Linked DNA regions of Notamacropus eugenii. The main gene of each other region encodes a partner of the protein of the gene in region 3 in a complex. Links are inferred from orthologs where the notes say so. Each region holds a gene or a part of one and is shown on either strand. Other genes may lie near its edges. The genes, in order: SNRPF, SNRPD3, DHX16 and SNW1.

What was found.
Region 1: DHX16 (region 3) and SNRPF share a complex: the UniProt entries of both Homo sapiens proteins name them as parts of the minor spliceosome. The link is inferred for Notamacropus eugenii from reciprocal best matches to the Homo sapiens genes DHX16 and SNRPF.
Region 2: DHX16 (region 3) and SNRPD3 share a complex: the UniProt entries of both Homo sapiens proteins name them as parts of the minor spliceosome. The link is inferred for Notamacropus eugenii from reciprocal best matches to the Homo sapiens genes DHX16 and SNRPD3.
Region 4: DHX16 (region 3) and SNW1 share a complex: the UniProt entries of both Homo sapiens proteins name them as parts of the minor spliceosome. The link is inferred for Notamacropus eugenii from reciprocal best matches to the Homo sapiens genes DHX16 and SNW1.

Annotation. Positions count from the first base shown.
Region 1 is NC_092874.1:278,477,606-278,484,755, reverse strand, and holds the start of SNRPF (small nuclear ribonucleoprotein F), read right to left. Parts: upstream 3,003-7,150; 5' UTR 2,786-3,002; coding exon 2,783-2,785; intron 1,310-2,782; coding exon 1,184-1,309; intron 1-1,183. UniProt on the Homo sapiens protein: Plays a role in pre-mRNA splicing as a core component of the spliceosomal U1, U2, U4 and U5 small nuclear ribonucleoproteins (snRNPs), the building blocks of the spliceosome.
Region 2 is NC_092875.1:1,748,935-1,755,817, reverse strand, and holds the start of SNRPD3 (small nuclear ribonucleoprotein Sm D3), read right to left. Parts: upstream 3,019-6,883; 5' UTR 2,812-3,018; intron 2,193-2,811; 5' UTR 2,175-2,192; coding exon 2,049-2,174; intron 1-2,048. Other genes in the region: protein GUCD1, read left to right, coding at 3,303-3,339, 3,794-3,878, 4,471-4,639, 4,786-4,877. UniProt on the Homo sapiens protein: Plays a role in pre-mRNA splicing as a core component of the spliceosomal U1, U2, U4 and U5 small nuclear ribonucleoproteins (snRNPs), the building blocks of the spliceosome.
Region 3 is NC_092873.1:84,542,447-84,550,069, forward strand, and holds the start of DHX16 (pre-mRNA-splicing factor ATP-dependent RNA helicase DHX16), read right to left. Parts: upstream 3,024-7,623; 5' UTR 2,761-3,023; coding exon 2,554-2,760; intron 2,546-2,553; exon of another isoform or gene 2,339-2,545; coding exon of another isoform or gene 2,330-2,338; intron 1,619-2,329; coding exon 1,377-1,618; intron 1,247-1,376; coding exon 1,081-1,246; intron 696-1,080; coding exon 639-695; intron 1-638. UniProt on the Homo sapiens protein: Required for pre-mRNA splicing as a component of the spliceosome. Contributes to pre-mRNA splicing after spliceosome formation and prior to the first transesterification reaction.
Region 4 is NC_092878.1:61,529,970-61,537,817, forward strand, and holds the start of SNW1 (SNW domain-containing protein 1), read right to left. Parts: upstream 3,015-7,848; 5' UTR 3,000-3,014; coding exon 2,962-2,999; intron 2,823-2,961; coding exon 2,669-2,822; intron 1-2,668. UniProt on the Homo sapiens protein: Involved in pre-mRNA splicing as component of the spliceosome. As a component of the minor spliceosome, involved in the splicing of U12-type introns in pre-mRNAs.

The DNA.
Region 1 (7,150 bases), on a different chromosome or scaffold from region 3:
AACAGCCTAACATTTGCTTTTTTATTATTTCTAAACCCACCAGTAAAATCCTACTCTGATGTCTCATGACATGGCTCTACAAAGTTATGAGTAGAATGCACATGCTGGCAGGTCCTACCGAGGTGGAAGTGACCTTTGTGACAGCAGCTGGAGCACAAGCCTCACCTAATTCAAAGAGGCTCATCTTCTGAAGGATGGAGACCAAGTGATAACTATGTAATGTAGATATCGAGGAGGGGGTAGGGAGCTTATGATGAAGCCTATGGATGGGGCTTTTCTCAGAAAAAATATTTTTAAATGCAGAAAATAAATTTTTCCTCAAAGAAAATTTAATCAAAGATAGATTTATTCTATCTCATTTAAGAAAAACATACTTTCTTAAAAAGCTAATTTCAATTGTTTTACTAAAATAATACTCTGAAGAAATGGTTATAAGTCCATCTCCAGTTACATTCTTCAGTATTACATCAACACATTTATTTAAACTGCAAAGCACACAAAGCACGGTTAAATTCTCTACAATACATTCAAATTCTGAATTCCAGTTTTCCTGACAATAATCTTTTATTTTCCTCTTAAGAAGTAAAGTCTTTTAACATTATTAGTTGCTTGTCTATTTAAAAACAAATGCTAAATGATTGTGAATCAAGGACCATTTAGATCACCGAAAATCCTAAGTATTAAGTAATCAATCCAAAGGGCAGTGAGAGGGCATATAGAGTGACTTTACTACCAACATACCTGGCAAATGTTATACCACAAGCTGGCTCCTCTCAATTGTGGTTGTTCATTCCTTTCAGTTGTGTCTGACTCTTCCATGACCCCATTTGGGGTTTTCTTAGCAAAGATACTGGAGTGGTTTGCCATTTCCTCCTCCACTTCATTTTGCAGATGAGGAAACTTGAGGCAAATAGGGTTAAATGACTTTCCCAGGGTCACACAACTAGTAAGTGTCTGAGACTGAATTTGAACTTGGGTCTTCCTGGCTCCTGGCTTCACTCCACTGCACCACCTAGTTGCCCTCTTTACTTCAAGTAAATTAAGACTCCGAAGCCTGAAGCTTAGGAGAGGAATTAAGGTATCAATTATTAAAAGGACATGACTTTTCACTGAAATCCTGGACAAGGCTCCAAGTCTCAGAAAGCAAGTAAAGTGAGGCCCACCCCACTCGAGTTTAGCTTACCTGCATGTTCATGTAGCCATCCACAGACACCAGGTAACCTTTATACTCCATTCCCCACTTAAGCTTCACCATCACTGGCTTCCCTGTCAGTCCATTCAGGAATGGTTTGGGGTTGAGGGGTAAACTCTGTACAGAGATGAGGTGATAAAGGCAAGACATTAGTCAAGATGGAGCTTTCACAGGATCTCAAGTAAGGGAAGGAACATGAGGGTTCATTTAGTCCAATATTCTTACTTGACAGAGAAGCCCAGAGCCCACTCCTCGTACTTTCCTAAATCACCCTATATTACATTCAGCCTTTCCTAGTACCCAAACTATTGAGTCCTGCTATGGTTAACCTCTTTCATTTTTGATTCACAGAGATGGGATGAAATAGATAAATTCACATTCGTTTATTCAACAGTTCCAGATTCCTCCTTCTCTACCAAGCCCCCAGAATGGGAGTTAGAAGCTTTAGAAAGAGTAAAGTCCACCCCTCCTCCTTCTAAAAGGAGGAAATCAAAGCCCAGGTGGCACGTTTGAGGGGAAGCACTGTCTTTGGCCTCTTTGTATCCCCAGTGCTTGGCACCGGCACCTGGTCTGGAGCTGGCACTTAAACGCTGGCCCAAGTGCCCCCAGCTAACACTGGGACGGAGCAGGGACTTGAACCCTGCATCTCTAAGGCCAAAGCTATTTCTCCTACACTATGATAACCAACAGTCACCTCCCCACCACAAGGCACTGCTGGAAGCCACTGGTGAAGGAAAACTCAGATACGTTTACTTTTTTTGGGGGAAGGGAAATAATAAAATATAATAATCATTATACGTATATAAAATAATTATGTATATAAAATACGATAATTATAATAAAATATAATAAGATGGCCAAACTACAGAAAAAAGAGGAAAAAGGTGCCTTTTTTTGGCAGGTGAGGGAAACTGAGGCTCAGGAGCTATAAGAGGATAACTCGGAGTTTAAAGGGGGCACAAATTGGAGCCAGGAGCTGACCAGAGTGATTCCCTGATCTTCGATTATTATTATTAAATATAACAGCAGTGAACCTGTATCACAGACGGCCTCTGAGGCCCCTTCTGGATCCCAACCTGTGCCTAGGGCTGTGTTTCTGGGGCCTCAGTTTCCCCGGCTGTAAAGGGGTTGGCCCATCCGACCAGGGAAGTTTGCCCAAGGCCTCAGTTTCCCGGGCTGTAAAGTGAGGAGGTGGGCCCAGACGGCCGCAGCCCCGCGGCTCCAAGCTCTCTCCCCCTGGCTTAAGTTCTAGGAGTCCACGGAAAGTTCCCTTCTGGCCCCGCCTCCTTTCCCCCCGCCCCCCTTTAAATGGCCCCTTCCAGGAGGCTTTAAAGCGCAGGACTCGGGCGAAACCAACTGGGGTCGAGGGGGAATGTAGGAGGGAAAAATAGCAGGCTCGCGAGCCGCTCCTCTCGCGAGACCGGAGGTGGGGGGGGACAGGGAAGAAAGGGACGAGCCAGGCCGCTCCCGCCCCCCACAGCAAATGAATGGGCAAGGCGGGAAGCGAGAACCCGTGCGGACGCTCTTCACGCCGCTACCAGGCCGCCACGGCTCCCGCCGCTGCCGCCGCCGCTGCCGCCGCCCCCTTACCATCGTCACCACCGAAGAGCGCCACGGGCCGTCCGCCGCCGCCGGTTCTCCTGCGCCCACGTGAAGCGAGCCACCGCCGCCCCTACCTCCGCCTCCCTCTAGCCGGCAAGCGTACGGAAGGCAGGGAAATGGCCGCCAGCCGGGAAGGTGAACTTTCACCCCTCACCCCGGCTTCCTTGTCATAGCTCTCCTCCCCCGCTCTCCTCCTCCCGGGCCTCTCGGATTGGACGGAAGCAGGTGGGTGGGGCTTGGAGGCGGGGCGGGGCGGAGCCGAGCAGGAGAGGCTCGTGCCGGGGTTGCTCAGTGCGCATGCGGACTCCTCCCGCGCCTGCGCCGCACGCGTCCAACAGTCGGAGATTTTAAAAAACCTTTTTCCCCAAAGTGCCTCAGTTATTTCTTTGCCCTTGAGCGTGTTCTTGTTCCCTAATCCTGACCGGACGCTGCCTCTGCTGACGGGACAGTGCGCCAGAAGCGGCCTCCCCGGAGGAGGGGGGTGGCGGCTGTAGGTATCGCGACCCCGGGGCCTCGTTCGCCTCCCCCGGGGGCCTGGCTTCGCTCCTTCCGTCTCCGCGAGGTTGTAGGGTGCCCCTCGGGAGCACGGGACGCGTGGCCGGGAAGGCCCTGCTCGGCCGGGGCAAGTCGCCTCGGGTCCCGGAGCCTCATTTCCTAATCTCAAATATATATATATACGTATATCTACACATGTGTATACATGTGTGTATATGTGTATATATGTATGTATATGTGTATACAATGTGTATACAAGTATGTACATGTGTATACATGTATGTATATGTGTATACATGTGTGTACATGCGTGTATATGTATGTATATGTGTATACACTGTGTGTACATGTATGTACATGTGTATGTATGTATATGTGTATACATGTGTGTACATGCGTATATATGTATGTATATGTGTATACACTGTGTGTACATGTATGTACATGTGTATATATGTATGTATATGTGTATACATGTGCGTACATGCGTATATATGTGTGTACACTGTGTGTACATGTATGTACATGCGTATACATGTATGTATATGTGTATACATGTGTGTACATGCGTATATATGTATGTATATGTGTACACACTGTGTGTACATGTATGTACATGTGTATATAATGTATGTATATGTGTATACATGTGTGTACATGCGTATATATGTGTGTACACTGTGTGTACATGTATGTACATGTGTATATATGTATGTATATGTGTATACATGTGTGTACATGCGTATATATGTGTGTACACTGTGTGTACATGTATGTACATGTGTGTATATGTATGTATATGTGTATACATGTGTGTACATGCGTGTATATGTGTATACACTGTGTGTACATGTATGTACATGTGTATATATGTATGTATATGTGTATACATGTGTGCACATGTGTATATATGTATGTATATGTGTATACATGCGTATATATGTGTACACTGTGTGTACATGTATGTACATGTGTATATATGTATGTATATGTGTGTACATGCGTATATATGTATGTATATGTGTATACACTGTGTGTACATGTATGTACATGCGTATATATGTATGTATATGTGTATACACTGTGTGTACATGTATGTACATGTGTATATATGTATGTATATGTGTATACATGCGTGTACATGCGTGTATATGCATGTATATGTGTGCACACTGTGTGTACATGTATGTACATGTGTATGTATGTATATGTGTATACATGTGTGTACATGCGTATATATGTATGTATATGTGTATACACTGTGTGTACATGTATGTACATGTGTATATATGTATGTATATGTGTATACATGTGCGTACATGCGTATATATGTGTGTACACTGTGTGTACATGTATGTACATGCGTATACATGTATGTATATGTGTATACATGTGTGTACATGCATATATATGTATGTATATGTGTACACACTGTGTGTACATGTATGTACATGTGTATATAATGTATGTATATGTGTATACATGTGTGTACATGCGTATATATGTATGTGTATGTGTATACACTGTGTGTACATGTATGTACATGTGTATATATGTATATGTGTATACATGTGTGTACATGCGTATATATGTGTGTACACTGTGTGTACATGTATGTACATGTGTATATATGTATGTATATGTGTATACATGTGTGTACATGCGTATATATGTGTATATGTGTATACACTGTGTGTACATGTATGTACATGCGTATATATGTATGTATATGTGTATACACTGTGTGTACATGTATGTACATGCGTATATATGTATGTATATGTGTATACACTGTGTGTACATGTATGTACATGTGTATATATGTATGTATATGTGCATACATGCGTGTACATGCGTGTATATGCATGTATATGTGTGCACACTGTGTGTACATGTATGTACATGCGTATATATGTATGTATATGTGTATACACTGTGTGTACATGTATGTACATGTGTATATATGTATGTATATGTGTATACATGCGTGTACATGCGTGTATATGCATGTATATGTGTGCACACTGTGTGTACATGTATGTACATGTGTATATATGTATGTATATGTGTGTACATGCGTATATATGTATGTATATATGTATACACTGTGTGTACATGTATGTACATGTGTATATATGTATGTATATGTGTGTACATGTGTATATGTGTATGTATATGTGTATACATGTGTGTACATGCGTATATATGTATGTATATGTGTATACAATGCGTATACATGTATGTACATGTGTATATATGTATGTATATGTGTATACACTGTGTATACATGTATGTACATGTGTATATATGTATGTATATGTGTATACATGTGTGTACATGTGTATATATGTATGTATATGTGTATACTCTGTGTATACATGTATGTACATGTGTGTATATGTATGTGTATGTGTACATGTGTATATATGTATGTATATGTGTATACAATGTGTATACATGTATGTACATGTGTATATATGTATGTACATGTGTATATATGTATGTGTATGCGTATGTGTACATGTGTATATATGTATGTATGTGTGTATACAATGTGTATACATGTATGTACATGTGTATATATGTATGTATATGTGTGTACATGTGTATATGTGTATGTATATGTGTATACAATGTGTATACATGTATGTACATGTGTATATGTATGTATATGTGTATACATGTGTGTATATGTGTATATATGTATGTATATGTGTATACAATGTGTATACATGTATGTACATGTGTATATATGTATGTATATGTGTATGCACGTGTGTATATGTGTATATATGTATGTGTGTATACATGTGTATACATGTATGTATATGTGTATATATGCGTGTATATGTGTGTATACATGTGTATATGTGTGTATATACACGTATATACATGGGAGGTTGGGGCCCGGAGGACACGGCCGAATGTAAATCGAGGCTCCCATCCTGCTGCCCCTTCGTCGGTGATTGGAGAAGCATAGCTTGGAGGAGAATCTAGACCAGCCTGCCCTTCGCTGTCATGTTTCCAAATACGTAATTGCAGTATATCTATGTCGGATAGTATGTTGGGAATATTATTTGGCTTGATTATGTTGAAATATAATTTATTGAATTGTAAACCCAAATTAGTGAATTCTCACAACAACCCTCCAAAACATTATTTTCCCCGTTTTACAGAGGAGAAAATTGAGGCAAACAGGTTAAGTGACTTGCGTAGTAAGCGTCTGAGGCTGGGTGAGGCCTAGCTTGTCATCCTACCTCACCACTTAACCCTTCCTTAAGCTCCCTATTACATCCAGGAGCGGATCTCCTTGAAATTAAAACTTAAGCTTTGATAGCTTAAAACTGCAAAACAGACATTTGGAATATTCTGTATAATCTGTGGCGTTTTAGGCTCTTAGTAGTCTGACCGCCCCTAACTCTTTTACTTCAGTCCGTATGCTGTACAATGATACTTGATAGATGGAGTCAGCAGAGCAGGCATTCCTTAAGCACATGCTATGTGGCAGGTGCTTGGGCTAGGCAAAAAGCAGTTCCTCTTATCAAGGATCTGACAGCCTAGTAGGGCAGACAACATAAAAACAACTGTACAAAGATGGATGTGGAATACGTTGGATATCATCAACAGAGAGAAGACACTAGTATTAAGGAGGATAGGGAAAGGTTTCTTGAAAATAGGTGGGATTTTAGCAGGGAATTGAAGGAAGTTGGGGAAGCCAAGAGTTGGAGAAGAAGGTAGGATGAATTCCAGGCATGGGGAGGGGGGGAGCAGGTGGGAGCAAACAGTGGAATTGCTTGAGACAGGTGGAGTGTCATGGGGATCTAATTTGTAGAAAGGAGTAAGGTGTAAGAAGACTGGAAA
Region 2 (6,883 bases), on a different chromosome or scaffold from region 3:
GGGATGATGCTGTCCTCCATGGCTATAGGGGAAGAAGCGGGGAGGAGGACTCGGGGGATGCCTATGAGGCATGACATCCAACTGGAATGAAGCACGGCTAACTGGCGATGGGGACAGAGAGGTCAGAGCTGGAGAAGTGTTCACACTGAGAATGGAAGTCACAGGGGCGGAGCTGGAGGCGATGCCCCTTCCACCTCTGAGTCTCTGCCATGCCAGACATGCCATGCCCCTGGCACACCTCCCAGGAGGCCCTGGGCTCCCTATTCCCTCGCACCCCTTCAGATCCAACATGGTGCTAAAGCCCAACCATTTCACCTTGGTGGCACCCTGCTCCACACCTGGATGGATGGCCTGCCTCAGTCTCCTCTCCAGGACATCATTCAGCCAGCGCAGGTCTGAGCATATCACCCCCACCCTCCTCCTCTATAACCTTCAGGATCAAGCACAAAATGCTGCCTGGCCTTCAAAGCCTTTATAATTAGACGTCTCCTGCCTTTCTTGGTACCTTACACTTTCTCTGCTCCAGGTCACAACATTCCATTTCCCACCTCCGTGCCTTTGAATTCAATGGCTGCCTCATGCCTACAACACCCTCTCTTCTCCCATCTCTGGGAGTTGAATCCCACCTTGTCCAAGAAGCCTAGGTTGGTTCTGGTTCCCCCATCATCCAGAGCTGCTTACCTGTTGTCTCATCCCTCAGACTGGGAGCTCCCCAGGGGAGGGGCAGGGTCTGCCCTTTTCTCCCCAGCACTGATTTTGCCTGGAGTGCGGCACAGAAATGCTTACTGAGTGCCTGCCTGCCCACCAGCTCTCCCTTCCACTTCTATCCCCAAGACAGCTGGCTCTGAGCTCGGCTGTCCAGCCTCCACACCTGCCAGCACGGGCCATCCAGCCCCGTCCCTGCAACCTCAGGGCAGCCTTCCCATGAGGCTTCTCTCCAGCCTCTATGACCTCCTTCTCTGGGAAGCCTTCCCTGCATCCTCCCACTGGGAGGCCTCAGACGCCGGGTGGGTGACCCTGGGCAATGGCCAGGCTCCTCAACCATAGACTGGGATCCTAACAGAGCCTGCCCCAGGCCTGTCTGGACCTCAAAGGAGACAATTAACACCTGCCACAAAATGAATGTCATTAGTTGTTACTGTCATTACTACCAGCGGGGAAACCGCCAAGGCTGCCAGCCTGGCACCTGGCCTGACTCCTATGTCTGTGCTGCCCAGCCCCTCTGGTTCCTGCAGCCTAGGCCGGGCTGCTGACCACACGTGACCTGGGGTGGGTAGGGTCTCTCCCCTCCATGTCCAGCAGCCAGCCTCGGTGCCCACCTGCCCCCCATGTCTGTGCTGCCCGGCCCCTGCACCCTAAGCCGGGCTGCTGACCACACGTGACCTGGGGTGGGTAGGGGCCCTCCCCTCCGTGCCCAGCGGGCTGCCTCCACCTGCCCCCCATGTCTGCGCTGCCCGACCCCTCTGTGCCCAGCGGCCAGCCTCGGTGCCTGCCTGACCTCCATGTCTGCGCTGCCTGGCCCCTCCGTGCCCAGCGGCCAGCCTCGGTGCCCGCCTGCCCCCCATGTCTGCACCATCCGGCCCCTCCGTGCCCAGCGGCCAGCCTCGGTGCCCGCCTGCCCCCCATGTCTGCACCATCCGGCCCCTCCGTGCCCAGCGGCCAGCCTCGGTGCCCGCCTGCCCCCCATGTCTGCACCATCCGGCCCCTCCGTGCCCAGCAGCCAGGCTCGGTGCCCGCCTGACCTCCATGTCTGCGCTGCCCGGCCCCTCCGTGCCCAGCGGCCAGCCTCGGTGCCCGCCTGACCCCCATGTCTGCGCTGCCCCGCTCCTCCGTGCCCAGCGGCCAGCCTCGGTGCCCGCCTGCCCCGTATGTCTGCGCTGCCTGGCCCCTCCATGCCCAGCGGCCAGCCTCGGTGCCCGCCTGCCCCGCATGTCTGCGCTGCCTGGCCCCTCCATGCCCAGCGGCCAGCCTCAGTGCCCGCCTGCCCCCCATATCTGCGCTGCCCCGCCCCTCCGTGCCCAGCCGCCGCGCTCGGCGCCACGCCGTACCTGGCAGTTCATGTTGTCCTCCGCCTCGATCAGCTTGCCCCGGTACACCTCCCCGGTGTTGGTCTCGCAGGTGACGATGTGCCCCTCCGCCTCATGCAGGACCTTGATGGGCACACCGATCGACATTCTGGCGACAGCGAGAACCTGCGGGGCCCAGCGGGACACGTGAGGCACTGGAGCCCAGCCCCCCAGGACCCAACCGGGCAGCGACAGCCCGGAAACCCTGCGCCAGGCCCGGGTCCGAGTGAAGGAGAAGACAATGGGGGTCCTCCTCCTACCCTGGGGAGGAACAAGCATTTAGGCGGCACCTACTGAATGTCCGGCGCTGCACCGAGTAAGCGCCTCGCAGATGGGGGGCGCTGTTATTAGAGCTCGGCACGCAGCTGGGAGGTGTACTTGGGGGGAGGGGCTCCGGGTGCAGGAAGGCCTGGGGGGGGCACTGAGGCAGGCTGCCGCCCCGCCGCTGGTGTCCAGGTGGGGGGGACAAATTCCGAATCAGGGCTGGGGGAAACAGGGAGTGGGGATGGGGCTCCGCCCCCAGCCTGGAGACCCCCCCCTGCGCCCTCCTTCCCGGGGCCCAGGGCATCCCTGGAGGAGGCTGAGGGAGGCCCTGCCAGAGAAAGGCGCGGGGGCGGGAGGCATGGCCTTGAACGCCGAGCCAGAGCCCCTCGCCCACGCGCTACTCTCCCCCCGTTCCCGCCCCCCCCCCCGGTTCCCATTCCCCCCGCCCCGGGTCGCGCGGACCCCTCGGCCCAGGCCTCACCTGCAGCCCCCGCCCCGGCTCCGGTTCCGGCGGCGCGAACGTGCGACAAACAGCGGCAACTGAATGGCGGGTCTCGCGGTCCCAGCATGCACCGGGCCCGGAAGCGGGGTGGGCACTTCCGGGGATCGCTCCGCCCCTAGACAGCCCGGTGGGAGCGGGAGAAGAGACTCTAGAGGCTTACAGGGGCGGGGCCTGAGGGCGGGGCCCATGGCGCGTGCTCGAGAAAGGGGCGGGAAATGGAGGATGGGGGCGTGGCCTGGGTTCGGCCTCTGCGCCTTGCGTGCCGCGTCGGTGGCGCGCTGTGCGTGCGCTAGCGCATGCGCCGTGAGAGATTTCGCGTCCTCCCGGGAGCGGCCGTGGCGGCGGTGGGGCCGGAGAGGGGTTGAGGAACCGAGGCGGGGGCCGAGATCCCGGGCAGAAGCGGATCGGGCCGGGGCCATGGCCAAGGCGCCTCCACAGCCCGAGCCCCGGCCCGTCCGCCCGCAGGCGGCATGAGGGAAGAGGCCGAGGGAGCCGGGGCCGAGCCCGGTGAGGGCAGCCGGGGAGTCTGAGGCACGGGCAGGGGGAAAGGGAAGGGTTATGGAGTCAGCCCGTTCTGACAGCTGGGGAGGCTGAGGCACGGCCCAGGGAGTCCGCTTACGGGGTCCTAGATCGGTCTCCCAGCGGGGGATACTGAGGCACGGCCCAGGGGTCCATGTACGGGGTCCTAGCCCGCCCTGACCAAGACTGAGGGGCACGGAATTAGCATCTCCTGGATGCCCAGCCTGGGACTCTGCGGGAGATCCGGAGGCCAAAGGCCCGGGTCCCCTAGGGCGGAGGAGCCCCAGGACTGGCCAGGGCGGGGACGGAATTTGAACTTCGGCCGGGGCGAAGGCTCCCAGGGCGGAGCCAGCACATTGGGAGGGGCGGGGCGGGGTCACTGCTGGACCATGGGGGGAGGGCCCCAACCCCGCCCTCCTCCGATGCTAGTCCTCTGTCCCAGGCGACTTCGTGCAACTGAAGGTGCCCATCGTGCAGCAGCTGTACCACTGGGACTGCGGGCTGGCCTGCTCCAGGATGGTGCTCAGGTGAGGCGGGGCCCGGGCTGGTGACCCCTCCTCTGACCTCCGGGATTGGCCGCTGGCCCACCCGGCACGTCCCTGTCCCCGCCCCTTCCGCGCTTGGGGTTTGGGAGGTGCACCACTCGGGCCCGCCCCAGTCCCTCCCTCAACTCGGTGATTGGTCGGTGTTCCCTTCGGCCCCTCCCCTGTCCTTTCAGAGCTCGGTAATTGACCCCCTGCGGGTCCCTGTCTTCTGTCTCTTTCCCCGCTCCCGTAGTTCGGGGATTAGTCGGCCCCACTCGGCCCCGCCCCAGTACTGTGATTGGCCGGTGACCCACCCGCGCCTCCATCTCTTTCCTCCCCCCTCAGGCCCCGCCTTCCCCCGCTCCCTGAGCTCGGTGATTGGCCGATGGTCCACCGTGCCCCGCCCTCAGCTCAGTGATTGGCCGATGCCTCCCCTCTGCTCCTTCCCCAGCCTTCCCTCAGAGCTCGGTAATTGCCTGGCGTCTTCTCCCTTCCCCCGCTCGGGGATTGGCTGCTACCCTGCCCGGGCCCGCCCCAGTCCCTCCCTCAGCTCGATGATTGGCCAGTGGCCCACCCGCGCACTCCCCCGCCCCAGGTACCTGAAGCTCCTGGAGGACGACGCTGCCTTCGAGCAGGCGCTGCAGGAGCTGCAGCTCACCCGGAGCATCTGGACCATCGACCTGGCCTACCTGATGCGCCACTTCGGGGCGCGCCACCGGTTCTGCACGCGGACGCTGGGCGTGGACAAGGGCTACCGGAACCAGGTGTGGGGGAGCCCCGCTGTCCCGGCTGGGAAGGGGGCCTGTGCAGGGGGGAGAGGGGGATCCCAGGCTGGCGCTGTTACCCTCCCTGCCCGGGCCGTGCCTAGGTCAGTGGCCACCGCGGCCTAAACGCCGTCTTCTCCGCTCAGTCCTTCTACAGGAGACACTTCGACGCCGAGGAGAGCCGGGTCAACCAGCTGTTCGCCCGGGCCTCGTCCTGCAAGGTGTTGGTGGAGAAGTGGTGAGACCCCTCCCCTGCCCCCGGGCACCCCTGAGTCTGATCCCTGCCAGGGCCCAGAGAGAGGGTGGCGGCTGGGCTTCAGGTCCTGCTGCGTGCGCTCCTTGACAGTGTCCATGCTCTCCCTGCTCTAACTCCCGTGGTTGGAAAGTGTTTATCCAAGAGTAGCCTTGATGCTGATTTTACACATGGGGAAACTGAGGCTTAGCGAGGCCACGCAGGTAGTAAGGGACAGGCTCAGCTCACAGCCTCAGCCCACCCTCCTGGGCACCTCAGCACACATGTGGCAAAGCTGGCACTGCCGACAGCCCCCATCTCCCACGGACAGCTCTGGTGCCATTCCGCCCTATCTTCCCAGCTCAGCCTTGAGAGCTCTGCCCTGAGCCCTCCGTGGATCCGCAGCTCAAGGCCCTTCTCACCCCAGCTTGCCCAGACCTGACCCCGAGGCCCCAGCTGAGTCCCACCCCGAGTACCTGATGCCCCCAGGGCACTGCTGCTCCCAGGAACCTCACTGGTATCATAGTAGTTGTTCTTGGATCTCTTCTCTGCCCCAGTCTTCCCCAGACCTATTACCTTCCTCGTTTCTCATAGCTCAGTACTGCTCCATCATAGCTACAGCCCAGATTGACCAGACATTTCCTGGTTGATGGGCCTTGCCTCAGTTTCCAATTCTCTGCTCCCACAGGAAGAGCTATTATTGATATTTCTCCTCTTGCTTTGGTCTCCTTGGGGTAGATATCTAGGAGTGATACCAGTGTTTCCTGCCTCTAGATTCTTCCAACCCCTCCCACATGGCTCATCTTTGGTCAGCTTTGCCCATCTGATGGGGCTGAGACAGATCCTTGGCGCTGGCTGGTTGGCATTTCTCCAATAAGCAGAGATTCAGAGTCTTTCTTCACATGGCTCTTAATGACTTAGATTCTTCTATTGAAAAGTGACCATTTATCGATTGGAGAAGGGTTCTCAATGCTCCCTATGTCATCTTAGAAATGACACTTTATCAGAGAAACTCACTGGGAAGGTTTCCCTTCATCTTGCTGCTTGTCTTTTGGGCCCTTTGGGTCACTGAGCCTTGTCTGCCCACCGGGCAACCTCTGTGGCAGAGCTAGCCCTTCCAGGACCCTCCCTCCCTCCCTTGTTCTCTGTCACTGCCATTGTCATGACCATGACTTTTGTCCTCATTCCGCCAGACCCTGTTAAGGCCATCCTTGGAGCTCAAATCCCTTCCTGGCTGTCAGGAGCCTCTGAGGTCACGGGGGAGCTTATCAAACCTAAGACCCCGCCACCCATGCTGCTATTATTTCATCTTGTCTGCCCCCTCCCCACCTTCTGTCCTCCACTGGGCATCTGTGTCTTGGTCCAGACCATCGATGTCAGATCCCTGGGGCACTCCACTGGAGACCTCTTTCCACATTTTCATCAAAGGTCCATGACTGACCAACCTATCAGCCAGTTCTGAATTCATTTCATTGTATTCTTTAGTCCATGTGGGTCCACTAATGGCACCATTGAGAACAGAACCTGGGCCTGGAGCCAGGAAGAATCCACTTCCTGAGTCTGGCCTCAGACACTTACTAGCTGAGCGACCCTGGACAGGTCACTTCATCCTGTTTACCTCGGTTTCCTCATCTGTTGAATGAGCTAAAGAAGGAAATGGCAAATGTTCCAGCATCTCAGCCAAGAAAACCCCAAGTGGGATCAAGGAGAGTCAGAAGTGACTGAGTGACCAAAAAGTTCACATCTCTACCTTTTGCCCAAAACTAGCATGAGATTCTTTATCAAAAACTTCACCCAGCCCTAGGCAAGTTGTGTGCACTGGCAGCGGTTCCTAGCCCTTCACAAAAGGCTGGCAGGTTAGGTGCCCCTTTGGGGAGCTTGGCCAAAATCAGCTTTTCATCTTTGCCTTCCTGTTGGCGGCATTTCCTTTGCCTCCCTCCTTTCCTCCTCCCTCGGAGTCAAACCCTGAAGAGAAGAATGGGGAGCAGGGGTGAGCCTGTCCCTGGATGCCA
Region 3 (7,623 bases):
CCAACTTAGAATCTAGTGCTTTTTCTACTATATCACACAAGAACTATAAAGACCTGTTTCCCCAAGCTGGATGACTAGGCAGAGGACCCCAAAGCCAGTGCATCCTGACATCTACCCAGTCATTCCTTTTCCTTCTGAGCTAACTTTCAGTTGCACATTCATCAATGACACAAGGAAACAATCTCCAAAAGAAGTTTATCCCCCTGTTAATACGATGTATAACTTGGTCCTTGAAGAACCAACCACGGAGGGTTTGCAGCAAGCTTGAACATACTTTTCACGTGCAAGCAGTCTTTCTCATGGTTATCCTTTGTACCTCTTGCAGTAGTGTCTACATATAATCCAAACCTCAACTACAACCTGTCTCAAGAACCTGACAACTGATAAGAACATGAGATGCAGAAGTAGAAGGGTCCATATAGATCATCTAGTTCAGCCAACTCATTTTACAAATGAGTTAGAGGAGGCCTCAAATGGCTAAGACACTTGCCCAAGATCACATAGACAGAAGCAGTAGAATGGAGTTTAACCAAAATCAAGTCCTCTGACTCGAAACTCTTTCCATTATAACACACAGGGGATCTTTTCCAGGCATCTAATCTTGGCTCACAAGAGAGGTTATGGGGGATATGACTTACCATTGCTTTCTGGTCTTCTTCAGCCATCTTAAGGCGCTTCTGGGCCTCCTCATATGCCTAAAAGGAGAAATAAGGAGGTAGTTAAGGAACCAGGCTCCCACCCCCACTTCTACAGAATCATAAGGATCATGAAGACAGATTAGAGGTCATAGTACCTTATGGGGAGAATTGTCTATGAATGCAGATGCTAAAATGATGCTTAAGAGACTCTGTACTCAAAAAAAAAAAAAAAAAGACTGTACTCTCCATAGTCATACTTGCCAGAATAACAACAAACATGGGGCTACAAGGATCCAGTTCCCTTCATAAGGACTATCATCTGTGGGGTCACAAATCTGACAATGATATCAGGAGTATAAAACTACAGAGGGGCCTTCCTTGGCTGCCACTCTCTTTCGAGTATCTACATAAATTGTTATGAGACACACCAACAATTATGCACCTTCTTGTCTGACCGCTCCAAAATATTTCGTGTTCTCTCCTTGTCCCGCTTTCGCACACGTTCAGCAAAAGCATCCCGTTCCTCCAGGTCCTGAAGCCGCTCCCTCTCAGTTCGTTCCCACTCATCTTCTGACTCTGGCTTTTGCTCTTTGCTGCTCTCATTCACCCTGCAGATCAGCCCCAGTTTAGGTAAAGTAAGAGAGAAACAGAGTCTAATCATACTCTGACTCATAATTATTGGCTCTCCTACCCAAATTCCACTCCCCTTGGGGAACTTTTTGTTGTCAAGATACTCACTTTGTCCTCTTCTTGTCTCCCTCAGAGTCCTGCTCTTCTTCCTCCTCTTCATGGGTCTTCTTCCTAAGATGTTTCCGTTTCTTGCTCTTTTTTTGGGACCCACTTCTCACTAGGCTCTGGATCTCCCGATCGCTCTCTTCACTTTCCTCCAGAAGCTGGTATGAACGATTCTTCTCTAGCAGAGCCAAAGCCTCACGCTCTGCCACCCGGCCTGGCCTTTCTACAACTGCCTTCCGTGGGACCTAGGAAAGGAAGGGATGACAAAAGGTTATCAGCTGCTAGCTCCATTTGCCTATCTCAGTACCCTAGAGCACTTGCTTCACATCTTTCATCATCTATCCCTTTCCTATAACTCCTCAGTTTCCACACATCCATTTTATTTCCCCTTGTAACCTCCACAAACCAGCTGTCTCTCCCATTAAACTGTGAGCTCCCTGAGAATAGGGGCTGTCTTTTGCCTCTCTGAATCCTCCTAGTTTAGCACACGTGGTGACTGTGATCTCTTCCTACATGTATTCCTATGATCAGAGCTAGCACTAGGATATACTCAATGAAAACAACAGCTTCCCCAGTTGTGTGTGTTGAGGAGCAGTTCAGGTGAGGAATGAGAGGATGAAGCCCTTTTTTTTTGATCCCTGGATCCTTAATGGTCTTTCCCCTTGAATTTCCCATGACATTTTGTCTTGCTTCTCTCTCAAGTGAGGTTGGTGACCCTGCACAGCTCTCCCTCACTCAAATCAAAGTCATGTCATCATGTCATGTCATGGTCCTCTTGGAAAACTAAGGCCACACGCAACGACAACCTGATGGAACCATCCCACCCGCTGCATGCAGATCTACTGGTGTCTTATCCCACAAGTAGACCACGTAAACCCTGTAATGCCCCCTCGTGAGCCCCGCTGATGCCAGCCCGACGTGTGCTGCACTTTGGGGCCCCTCCTGCGCCCTTTCACCAGTTTCATCTGCAGGAGGACACCACATGCCGTCGGTGCCCGTGGGCATTTATGGCGCGCAGGTTCGTCACTATTCACAGCCGCTAACCTCCGCGCCACCGAGAGACGTGGTGGCCACGGACGGACTTCCCTCGTCTCCCAGAGGAGGACATCCGGCCCCGCCCCCACCTCCCCGGGCTTGTCTCCCCGGCCTCCGGGGGCTCCCTCCGCGTTCCCGGAAGCACCTTGGCCCAGAGCCTCAGAGCAAAGTCCCGGGCCGGCCCGCTGAGGTCTAAGGTGCCGGTGTCCCGCAGCCGCTCCACGAACTCGTCGGCCGTAGCACAGCGCTTCGCCGTGCCGATGAGGAACTGCGCGACGTGCCGCTCGCTCAGGCCCAGCACGGCGTGCAGCTCGTCCTGCACCCAGCGCTCCAGTCTGGCCGGGGTCGCCATGGGGACTTGGGCGCGTCAGCCGGCCCCGACTTCCGGCGCTCGGCCCCAGCGGGGCCCCGCGGCCACGGCAATGGTCCCGGCAAAGGCCGCGGCCCGGGCGCGTGCGCTCGGAAGGGAGGCAGAGCGAGGGCCCCTCAGGGCCCCGAGGCGCAAAGCCCGTAGCCCCGGCACCCACCACTTCCGGGCCGTACCGCCAGCCAAGCAGGCAGGAAAATGGCGATACGAAAAGGGACCTTTCGGGAGGCCGAGGACAAGAAAAACTTCCGGTTTGAATTCCTACCCCGTTTCTTTTTTTGGCTTCCCCCTACAGGAGTGGAGGTCTTATTGCATGTGTAGCGGGCGGCGTTACAGGCTTCGCCAGGCTTCACCTGCCAAGAAGAGGAGCATGAAGGATAGAAGTTAGATGTCTAGGAGGACTTCGCAGCAAGGAAAGGCCGGGAACCAGGATCTGGGGAGAGGTGGAAGGGTTAAGTGACTGCCTGCTCTCTCTGTGCTGGGGGAAGCGCCTCCTGGATGAAGTTTGAAGGAAGGATGGGATTTTCTCAATATCAGGGCTTTGGGAATAGTACAGTGGGCATTTGTGGAAGATATATAGAGATGCCCGAGAACTGGAAAATCACCGAGACACTCACTATTATGTCAACTGCCTTGTCCACTGGTAGAGGGGAAATCTCTCAATTAGAGACCAGACTGTAAGGTCTTAAAAGAGATTAGAGCTACAAACATTATATCTTGCACAACTGATTGCTTGGGTAGCAGTGTGTGCCTGAATATTTGAAATAATGGAAACAGTAGTTTCTGATATTCCAGCTCATGAAGTTGATACTGTTGCTTTCTATCTGCACATAACCTTGGGGAAGTTACAGCTTCTCAGGACTTCAGCTTCAATAGCTTTCCCAAACCTTTTCATCCCTCCTCAAAATTCCTGTGACTCCCTCCCTTATTCATTCAACTGAGAACATTAACTCATATTTCATTGAAAAAATTGAGACTGTTCATGGAGAGCTCGTTCTCCTAAGATCATTCGGATAGAATGATCCTTCACCTCTGTCTCACAGATAGTACTTCTTGCCATGGCAAATTGCAACATACAAGAACATTCTCTTCTCTTGCAGACTATCTTCCCTATTCTCTTGTTATTTTTTGGGGGGGAGTGGGGGTGGGGGTGGGGGGGGTGTCCAAGCAATTGAGGTTACATGAGTTGCCCAAAGTTACACAGCCAGTAAGTGTGTCAAGTGTCTGAGGCTGGATTTGAACTCAGGTCTTCCTGACTCCAGAGCCAGTGCTGTACTCACTAGGTCACCTAGCTGCCCATGTTGTTAATCTTTAGTCACTTTTTACCTACTAGCTGCTTCCCTACTTCCTAACAACGTGTCCTTGTTAACCCCATCCTCATTTGATCCATCTATCCTCATAATTGTCCTTCATCTTTCCCCCCTTTTTTGTGGCTACCCTCCTTGAGGTTGTCTACAATGGGTGCCTCTACCTTCTTTCCTGTCTTAACTGTATAGTTTAGCTCCCATCTTCATCATTTAACCAAAACTACCAATGATGTCCTAATTGCCAAATATAGTGACCTTTTCTCAGTCCTCATATTTCTTGATCTCTTTGCAGCCTTTGACACTATAGATCACTCTCTTAAAAAAAAATACTCTTTCCTCTTTAAGTTTTTATGACAATATTCTTTCCTGGTTCTTCTCCCAGTGTGAATGCTTCTTCTTAGCTTACTTTTCTGGATTCATTGAGGGGAGGAATCATTGTGGAGAAGAAGCCCACCTTCCTATCCAACTGCCACCAATAGTCAGATGGGCCCTAGAAGTGGCAACAGGTCTTAGATCACTGGTCCTGTTTCAGGCCTGGCCATTACAGTCATCATCTAGAGAGGTAACTCCTCTGGTGAAAGAGCCAGCCATCCCCAGAAACTGCCAACCAACTGCCACACACAAGATACCTAGAGAGAGAGCCAGAAGGCAGCATGTGTCTGGCAAGTCAGATTATCATTACAACCTTGACCACTATCTCCTTTCGGAACCTATGGGCACAGGTCATGATCCTGAACCTGAGTCTTGGGAATAGCAATGCTTCCAACCTCAGTGCCTTCAGTCATCGTCCTAGGAAGCAAACCCTGTGTAGATGCAGCCTGACAACTGCTCTTACAGGCGTTACAGCCACAGCTAACTGGACCCAATGTAGTCCTGGAAGACCCAGGATTCTTGCTACCAAAGCCCTTGACACTGTAAAATGGTTCATTATCAGAAACCAATGATTTTATCAGTGGAAAGGACATAATCTGCTTTGCCTCTGCACCCTGAAGATCATGAAACCTTTCCAATATGTTATCTCTATTATAATGTGAGCTCCTTGGTTAAGAGTAGGGACTGTCTTACTTTTCTATGTATATCCCCCAGTGCTTAGCACAGTACTTTGCACACAGCAAGTTCTTAATAAATGTTTTATTCATTCATTTGAGTGATGCCCATTAGCCTTGGGTGTCCCTAAAGTGTGCCCTCTTCTCCTTTCCCTTTATACTATTTCACTTAGTGATTCCAAGGATTCAATTACCTCTCAATTGATGACTCTTAGATCTACTTACCTAGCTCCTCACCTCTCTCCTGGCCTCTAATCTCCTGTCTTCAGATGGATGTTCTGCAGACATCTTAAATTCAACATATCCAAAACCAAACTCATTATTTTTCCCTCCAAGACCTCTTCTCTTCCTATCTTTCCTATTATTGTCCACTGCAATCCTCTAACTACTCAGGGCTTGTAGCCTATGTATCATCCTTAACTCCTCACTCTCACTGCCCTCCCCATCCAATCTGTCACCAAATTCTGTTCTTTCTCCTTTTTGTAAAAATCGAACTATCCGTCATCTTGTTCTCTATTCTGACACTGCCACTATCTTGCCTTATCACCTCACACCTGAAATATTGAAGTAACCTCCTGATTAGTCTCCCTGCCGCGTCTCTCCCCACTCCAATCCATCCTCTACTCAACTGTCAAACTGATCTTCCTTAATGCACACATCTGACCAGATAACCCTTTTCTTTCACTCAACAAACTCCAATGGTTCCCTATTACCTCTAGGATCAAATATGAAATTCTTTGGTCTACAAAGCCCTTAATCTTCCGGCCTTCTCCTGCCTTTCTGGTCTTTTTATACCTTACTCTGCAATCCAGCAATACTTTGGATGGAACCCATCTCTTGATTCTGGGCATTTTCAAGAGCTGCCTGAACTCCTGGCATTCTTTCTCTCATCTCTGTCTCCTGGTCATCCTGGTTTCCTTCAAGATCCAGAAAAAATTCCCCCTTCTCTGAGAAGCCTTTTCCAATCCTCCTTAATTCTAGTGCCTTCCTTCAGCTGACTATCTTCCATTTATCCTGTATCTGTATTGTTTGTGCATAGTTGTTTACATGTTGTCTTTGGATCTTATTAAATCTTTCCTTGAGAGCAGGAACTGGTTTTTGACTTTCTTTGTATCACCAGTGCTCAGCACAGTACCTGGCACACAAGTAGGTGCTTAATATATGTTTGTTGACTGAATTTCTTTGTTCATAAAATGAAGATAATTGGACTAGATGAACTCTAAGGGCCCTACCGGGCCTACAATGAATTCCTTTTGGAGCCAGCTACAATAGAACTCCCTACCTCCCTTCTATGGGCTACACACCCTAAGGAGGGAGATTTTCTTAGCTATTTGTGAGGGTATCAGGTCCACTTCTCCATCTTTTCAGCTCTTCTCACTTGATTTTTTTTTCCCCCAAAGCTGTTCCCCCTGCACTGAAGTCTCTTCTTCTGCTTACAACCAACAAAGCTAAAGAGAGTTCAATCTGTTCCCTAGAACAGGGAATGCCCTTCCCTTCCCCTAGAGCATGAAAATCTGGTCAAATTCATGCTTCCCACCCCATAGACTTCTCATTGGAAGAATTAAAGATGTAGCCAGAGAGGCCTCCATTTTATTACAGAAAATTAAAGAAGGAAAAAAAGGCCATAGACAAGGAGATGTAAGGTAGGACCTCATTAGGACCCTCCTGTGTTCCCTTCAGTTTAATTCTGGGTCACTGGAAGAAACATAAGAATTAACTGCTACAAGGGAGGGAAAGATTGAGGTCACCCCTCCTCCTTTTGGAAGACCCAAATAATACTGAACAAGGCAGGGTTAGGGAGGCTAGACATTCAAGAAGAAAGCCAAGCTCCAAACAGTAGAAGGCAAGTGAGAGGACCGCCCACTGGTTGAGTTGTGGTAACATAACCATGGCAGGTGTGATCTGTAAACCTGGAACTTTGGCTGAGTGAGACTTGGCAAAGTGGAAGCTGTAAACATAAGTGGGTGGAGACCCAGGCAGAAAAAAAGTACATCTTTAACCCCCAGAGGGGATGGATGCACCTGTAAACAAACAGAAGGAATGAGGGCAGAACTTCTCAAGGCAGAGTGGCCTGCACTTACCAACCTTGGGGCAGGGTGGGGTGTTGGCACGGTGGGGTTAGCAATGGATAGAGTGCTATTCAGAAGGAAGGAAAATTCTACCTTCTCATGACTCAGTAGGCTTTGCCCCCTTCCTTAGGGGATTTGGATTCTTTGACTCCCAGAGAGCCAAAGGCTCTCTCCTTTCGCTGAAAATGTCTAGAACACATTGTACAACAGTCTGAACCTAAGATCATGAATTAGAGGTCAGATGGGTTCTTCCCCCTTCCCCTCTCCCGACACAGCACAAAGAAGGTGAGGTGAAGGAAGTCCATGGGATTTCTCCTTCCTGACAGCTCATTTTATGGGGTCTGTCAGCACAGCAGCTTCTAGGAAGGATGGAAGATTGATCTTCAACACTCAGGAGTGGGAAGGAGTTCTGCCTTCCCAGTTGGA
Region 4 (7,848 bases), on a different chromosome or scaffold from region 3:
ATGCTTTTTTCTCCAAACATTCACTCTTCTGGAAAAGTGCCCATGGCATTTTCAGATTAACAGGCCAATTTAGTTTGACTTTTCAAAACCTATTCTGCTCTACCTAGCTTTAAGAAATCTTAGCTATTAAAATAAGATTTTTAAAAATTCAACTACGCCATGAAGTTAATTATCAATTCCTTTTTAACTACATGAAATCTGAAATGCAAGAAGGCTACACTCCCTAATTTTACATGATTTTACATTTTACTTGCTGAAGAAGCCCAGTTTTAGATAAACTCAAAGACCAGGTTATTAAGATAAGAATTCACTATTCAACAAAAACTTCTGGGGAGAACAGAAAGTGGTCTGGGAGACATGAAAAGTATAAACCACAATTTAACACTAAAACCAAGATAAGCCCCAAATGGATACATGACTCAGAAAGAAATGGTGACATCATAAACAAATTAGAGGAGCAATGATTACTATTTACACTTATGAATAGGGGAAGAACTCATGACCAAACAAGGAACCAAACATGGAAAATCCTTATTATATAAAATAAGAAAAGTTTCTGTACAAACCAAACAAATGTGGCTAAAATTAGAGAAGTAGGTAACTGGGAGCTGGGGTGGGGGGGTGAATCTTTGCAGCATTTTTTTTGGTAATGGTTTCATTTCCAAGCTATATAAAGAACTAATTAAAATTTATTAGAATAAGGGCTCCAATTGATCAATGGCCAAATGATATCAATAGGCAGTTTTCAGAGGAAGAAATCAATGCTATTAACAGCCATGTGAAAAAAAGGCTCCAGATAACTAATAATTACAGAATACAAATTAAAGGAACTGTGAGGTTCCACACCCATTGCATCCATCAGACTGGCTAAATTGATAAAAAATGTAAAATGATAAAGGAGCTCAATACTAAAGGAGCTGTGAAAAAAACATATATTAATCTACTAGTCATGGAGCTGTGAACTGGTCCACTTGTTGTGCAAAGGTCATCTGGCACTATGTCTCAAAATTTATTAAGCAATACATACCCTTTGACTCAGTCATATACCACTACTGGAAGTCTATACTCCTAAGAGATCAAAGAAAGAGTAAAAGAACCCATACATACAAAAATACTTGTAACAGCTCTTTTTGTAGTGGCAAAGAACTGATAACTCCAAGAACTAGAAAGGTAATTCAGAATATGTGTATTGTCTGACAAGCAGTCAAGTTAAGTCTAAAGAGTTCCACCAGCAGACTGGTCACAAGATATTCTAAACAGAAATTCATCAGCTTTCAAAGACTGAATACTGAGTCAAAGAAACGAGGCAATGGGCACAATATGGGGAGTATTCACACCAACAATTCAACAATCATATATTAAGTGCCTACTATGTTGAAAAAATTATGCTAAGACTAGTGATACAAAGACAAAATTAAAAACAATGTTGCCTTCAAGGGGCTTATTCCACTGGAAGGAGACAATTTTTATTTTTTATTTTTTTTATTTTTTTTTTTTAATTTTTTTATTTTTTTAATGTTTAACAATCACTGCCATACAATTGCGATTTTATCCCTCCCCACCCACCCCCCACTACCTCCCTCCCTCCCCACGACTGCATACAATTCTGTATAGATTCTACATATACTTTCCTATTGAGTATATTTTCACTATAGTCATGCTATGTAGTCAGACTAAGATAAATGAAAGAATCCGTATAACAAATCAGAACATGATACACAAACAGATACACATACACAAACATGATCTGCTACATTATGTGAGTGACTTCCATATTTCTCTCTCTGAGTGTGGAAGGCATTTTGCCTTGAGGTCCACCATTGGGATTTTTTTTTTTTTTTCGGAAGTTCTTGTGTTATTACAAAAATCTAAGTCTACCAGAAAAAGCTCTCACACACTGTGGTTGTTGCTGTGCATAAAGTTCTCCTGGTTCTGCTCCTTTCACTCAGCATCAGGTCATATGGAGACAATTTTTAAAAACAACATGTCAAAGATTCCTGAATAAGAATTAATGTTTACATGTAACACTATAAGATTTACATGGTGTTCTCCACATAATCTATAATCTGTAAACATTATCACCCCCCATTTTACAGATGAGAGAATTAAGCTCAGACCTGCTTTCCACTGATGGACAATGCCCTTTGTACCTCAATTTCCTTATTTTTGCAATGAGGGGGTTGGACTAGATTGGCTCCAATGTCCTGTCTCTCTCCAATATCTTATAAACTCTAACTCCAGTTTTTCCCTAACACTTGCAGTATCTTCCAGAGCTACTTCTCTACCCTACCAAAACTATAAAGATTTTTTTGCACGTACAAAGGATTTTGGACCTGTGACGAAATTAATTCCTGCCATTACTCAAGCTCATACCTTTTGTGAGAAGGGTTAGGGACTCCTATTTCCCTAAGAATTGGTTGTTTGGTTTGTTTTCTCTATCTTTTAAGCATCCTACTTCTTGACTATTTCCCTATTCATCAGCACTTTTCAAAGGGTAAAACACTATTAGTTTACTAATAATAATACTAATAATTAGTTTACTTTAGACAACTATATTTCAAAACAGTACTGAAGTAGATGCTAGAAAACTCCATGGTTTAGACTTACTCATTAATTCTACAGCAACCCTGATCAATTTAATAAATCCAAAATGAAGGCTAATATTTACCTCTAACAAACGAGGTATCCAACCTTTCCGATAACCATAAGGAGGAGGTTCTCTTCTTGATGAGACCAGTGCAGTCTGCCTTGATCTCTGTGATCTTGCCCTTTCCTCAGCCTCAAGTTGGTCCTGAGACAGCTGAGTTGGAGCAGGTAAAAAGCTATAAAAAAGGATAAGGAGAAAAGTTAGAATACAAACAAAAACACTTTATGTCATTCAAATCAATAATGAGAATAAAATTTTTCTGGCTAATTTCATGAAAAGGGAGAATCTCTACTGATCTGTAGAAATGCCAATACCAGTCATTTTGTATTCCAGGTAATAATGAAGTACTCATTCATGGGATCAAGAATATCTGACTAAAGGCAAATGAGATGAGTTCTACGACCAGGACTGTCTCTGTATACCTCACAATAGCTATTATACTATGTTTTTCAATCTCTTGTAACCTAAGAGTAAATCCTCAGTCATTCAGAGAATGATTGCCCAGAATACTGATTTTCTTTTTGTTCCCTTTTAATCATTACAGTACCAATATTGAAGGACAAGTAGAAACAGGGAAGAGAAGTCGAAACCTCAAAGAAAGAAAAGGATAGGGAATAGGCATGTAGCAGTTAAGAGAAAAAAAAAAAAGTACATTTAAGAATCCTTTTTTTATCCTGTTCAATTCAAGAATATATATAATCTTAAGTAACAACAAAAAGGTTGATTTTCTGAAAAAAGCTATTAACGTTTAAGAAACTGAAGTAGTGCCAACTTGAATTGTTTTTGACTATACTTCCAGTGTATTGATCATAATAAATGTTAAGTTATTAAGCAAAAAGATCCAGTGTATTTATACTGAAAATGAATTATAGCACATGGAACAAAACCTTTGACATTCACTGTACAAAAGGCTTAATGAGTCCCGCAAAATACTGGTCAACCAAGAATAAAAAGAAAAGTCAATCACTGCCTTAAACATACTGTTAGCATTAGAAAAGCAATTCTATCTTTGACAGAAAGAGTCCAACTCTTGTTTCTGCATGCTAATATAGTATGGATCAAAAGAACTTAGGTCAGACTTCCCCCAAAAATTTCTACTGGAACTATCCACAAGAAGTCCTATGGGCATGCTGTTTAACCCTTTGGAAAATTCAATTGAACAGAGTCAAGAAGTAAAATGCTTAAAAGATAGAGGAAAACCAATTCCTAGGGGAACAGTTTCAATTTTAAACAGTTTAAGATTTCCACTTTGCAGGCTTCATAAAGTTAGCAAAAACGAATTCAATGAAAACATAAGAACCACCGGCCTACCTTAAAATTAAGCCAATACTGATATTGTTACTACTGGGCATCTCCCTTGTATGAATATGTACATAAATGTATACATATGGGTGCCTATGTGTGTTTATACACACACCACCCTTTCCACAATATCTAGCTCAGGTCCTACTTCCTCAGTGAAGCCTTTCCTTACCTATCTTCTAACTCCTTTGGTACTTCTCCCTCCCTGCCCACAAAAGTCAGCATTCTATTACACTTCAATTGCTTTGTATGCCTACATTTGGTCAAGAGTAAAAGAGGCTTGTAAACCAGAGTTCGCCTCTTCAATTGCCCTTTCTACAGACCACACCATGTAACTCGTTTTTTTCCCAAGCTTCACTGTTATGGTCCGTTCGGAATGATGAGTTAAGTAGGAACAGCAGGAAAGGGGCAGGAGCTGGGGATACCGATGACGCTAGATTAGGGGCCTCCTTGGTTTCTTTGGTATTCTCAGGGCTTGGCGGAGTACCTGGAACACAATAAACCTTTATGGCTTGACTTTCCGCAGTCTCTCCTCGAGTTTCCTCTTCTCTTGCCGGTGTGTGTTTTTAAGGAAAATTGTTTCCGCTTACTAAGCACCTGTTTCAGGAATTAGTCTCAGCTACGTAATTTTTTTTTTTTTTGCTCACTACGTACTAACGATCATTCGCTGGCAATCGGGGGCCGCCTTCACACGCAGCTCCCACCACATCGGGAAGCGGCAGGACTCAGATCTGCCTGGGGGGGGTAGTTCTCTTCCACTGGACTGGCCATGAGTCCCCTCACCCCCAATTCAGAGCTCGCCAGGCGGAGGCACTCTTCTGTTTTCCGAGAAGGTCCAACCGATAAGGGAGCAGACAGCGGCTGGAAGCCCGCCTCAGCTTCCAGCTCCTTCCCACCACCGGTAACCACCGTCCCCTTCCTGGTCCCCACATGCCAGCCCCGATTCCCCACCTCCACCTCCCTCCAGATTCCCCACCTCCACCTCCCTCCACAGGAGGGAAGGCCTCTTCACTCCCTCGCCCTCGGAAACGAGAACAACTAAGGCAATCCTCGAACGCGCAGGGGCAGGGAAGCGTGAGCCACGCCGATGTCGGCAGCCACGACTAGGGGCGGCCAGCGCTCGGGGTAGGTGTTCAGGAAAGGCCCCGGCTTCCGGGGAGGCCTGGTCGACTCGGCCGCTAACGGGAAGTCCTGGCCCACAGCTTTACCCCAAAGCATCGCTACTCCCCTGACCGGCACCCTCCCAGAGTGTGGAAGCCGAGGAATAAAAGGCAAAAGCGAACTGAATCTCTTCCGTAACGCAGACCCCCTCCTCCCCCACAGACCTCAAAACCCACCTGGTAAGCGCCATCTTCTTCCGCTGCTTTCAGCGCTCGCGGCAGCTCAGCTGGGAGGGGTTTGCTAGGCAACTGAAAGGGTTAGGGGGAAGGCGGAGAAGAAAAGGCGAGAGCACTGCGCACGCACCTTTAACGAAAGGCCTCTTGGGATTTGTAGTACTTTGAGCGAAGGGCGGGGAGGGGGCGGGGCGAAACCGTGGGCGAATAGAGCAAGGGCGGATTCAGCTCTCTTTAACGCTTCAATTGAACGTACGCCATGAGGTCACCCACATTGTGTGACGTTCAAGGCCTGCCCTAAGCCAAATTGTGAAGTCTCGCTATTTGGTGTGGGATACTTTTTCAGAGCAGTTTAACAAGGTCTTTGGTCTAAGGAACCTGTCAGCTAATGGAATTGATGTTTTTAGAGGAACCTAGGGGACTCATTGGGCAAAACGTTGGACCTGGAGTCAAGAGAGATCAGAGTTCAAAGTCGTTATCTGACGCTTACTAGTTGTGTGACCTTGGACAAGTCAATGAACTTTCTACCTCAATTTCCTCATCTGTAAACCGGGGGTAATAATAGCACCTACATTTCAGGGTTATTGTAAGGATGAGATCATCTTTATGATACAAACCATAAAGAGCTATAAAAATGCTAGCTGCTTTTATACTTTTTGGAATCAAAGGAATACTTATCTCTAATAATACAATTGAAGGCGCTGCTGCAGGACTTGGGGGAAATATTTTAATACTGGAGGAACTGTTGGATGCCCTTCAAAGAACAACAAATACTTCAGTACCGAGGACAGCACCACATAGTAAGACAGTAGATCCACAAGCATTTTATTCAGTACCTACTGTGGCAGAAGCTGCTCATTTCGGGGGTAAACAAAGACAGAAAAGAAACAGTCCCCTGCTCTCAAGGATCTCACGGTCTAATGTGGGCCCTAATGAACTTTTGTTCTTAGTGACAACTGATGATAAGGAGATGAAACAAATTGTGGTAACAATGAAGAGTTAAGTTCTGGTTTTCCTACCATAATAGTAATAACAATAACTAATACTGTAAATGAGAGCTCACAACAGCAAGGGATCAACATGGGCTAGAGTTTTCAGAAAAGGCTTATTAATATCAATAGGTTCTAAAGACACAAATCAACAGTATACGGTGTTTACTAGGTGCTAAGTACTGTACTAAGTGCTAAGCTAAGCTAAATTAAATAGTCCAAGTCTTTAAAGAGCATACATTATACTAGAGGAAAATAGTATATGCACAGATTAATCAAAATAAAGTTATTTATTCTATGGGATAGGGACACCAGCAAGGACCTTGTGTAGGGCAGGACTTCTTCAACTTTTTCTACTCCTGATCCCTTTGCACATGAGAAATTTTTATGCAACTCTGAGCATGTAGGTATATAAAATAGGGATACAAATAAAACATTGATTAATAATAAATCATAAAGAAATTTATTTTATAACAATTCTTTGGTATACATATAATTTTACCATTTACTAAAATGAAAAGCAAATTTACATACTAATGAGATGGATGTGCCTGTTTATTTTTACATAAAGAATTAAATCTTGGCAGAATATTTGATACTGTTGGACATAGAACATCTTCAGTGTTTTTCAGAGATGTTTGATATTTTGATTTTATAATTGTCAATGCTGAGAACACCACTTCACATAAATACATAGTACAAAATGGCAGAAGTATGTTTAGGGCCATTCAGAAATTGTTGGAAATTCTGTCCTTATCCTAAGCCAAAATTCACTTAATGATTTGGTACGTATGGTAAAAACAAAACAAAACAACAACTTCAGTTCATAACATACAATAGTCTCCAATATGAGCTGAGTTGTTCTTGGCGATATTCGTTGGCATTGTGTGGAGTGATGGTATGCACATGAGCAGTGCAAAGTATGCATATTGTGTGTTCAGAACCAAGGCAGCAGGGAAGTAGTGTAATGCAACATGGACAAGCGCTGGCAGAAACGCCTCACATTCATTTGATTTTGAGTTAGTTTTGGGTCATTGTGCATTCAGAAACCTTTTACTTTTGCCAGATATTTTGTGACCCCCACATTTAGCCACATAACCCCATATGGAGTCACAATTTAAAAAGCTCTGTTATACGGGATGGCACTTGAGCTGAGACTCAGAGAAAGCCAAACATTCTAAGAGAGGCAAATGACAAGGGACTATATTCTAGTCATGGATGCCATCTTACATAAAGGCACAAAAGCAAAAGATACCTCATATATTATCTCATTTGATCCTCACAACAACCCTGTGAAGTAGGTGCTTATTTTTGCCCACATATTTTTCAGATGAGGAAATTCAGGTTGAGTATGGGAAATGGCTGAAGTGTTGGAGTTTGGCCAGGATGTTAAGTTTGCAAGAGAGAGTAATGTGAAATCAATCTGGATATACAGGCTGAAGGCAGACTGTAAAAGATTTTAAATGCCAAACAGAAGCATTTGAGTTTGATTTTAGAGACAATAGGGAGCCCCTGGAGTTTCTTAAGCAGGAGAGTAACATGATCAGGCATGTTACTGCAATAATAATATTGATTT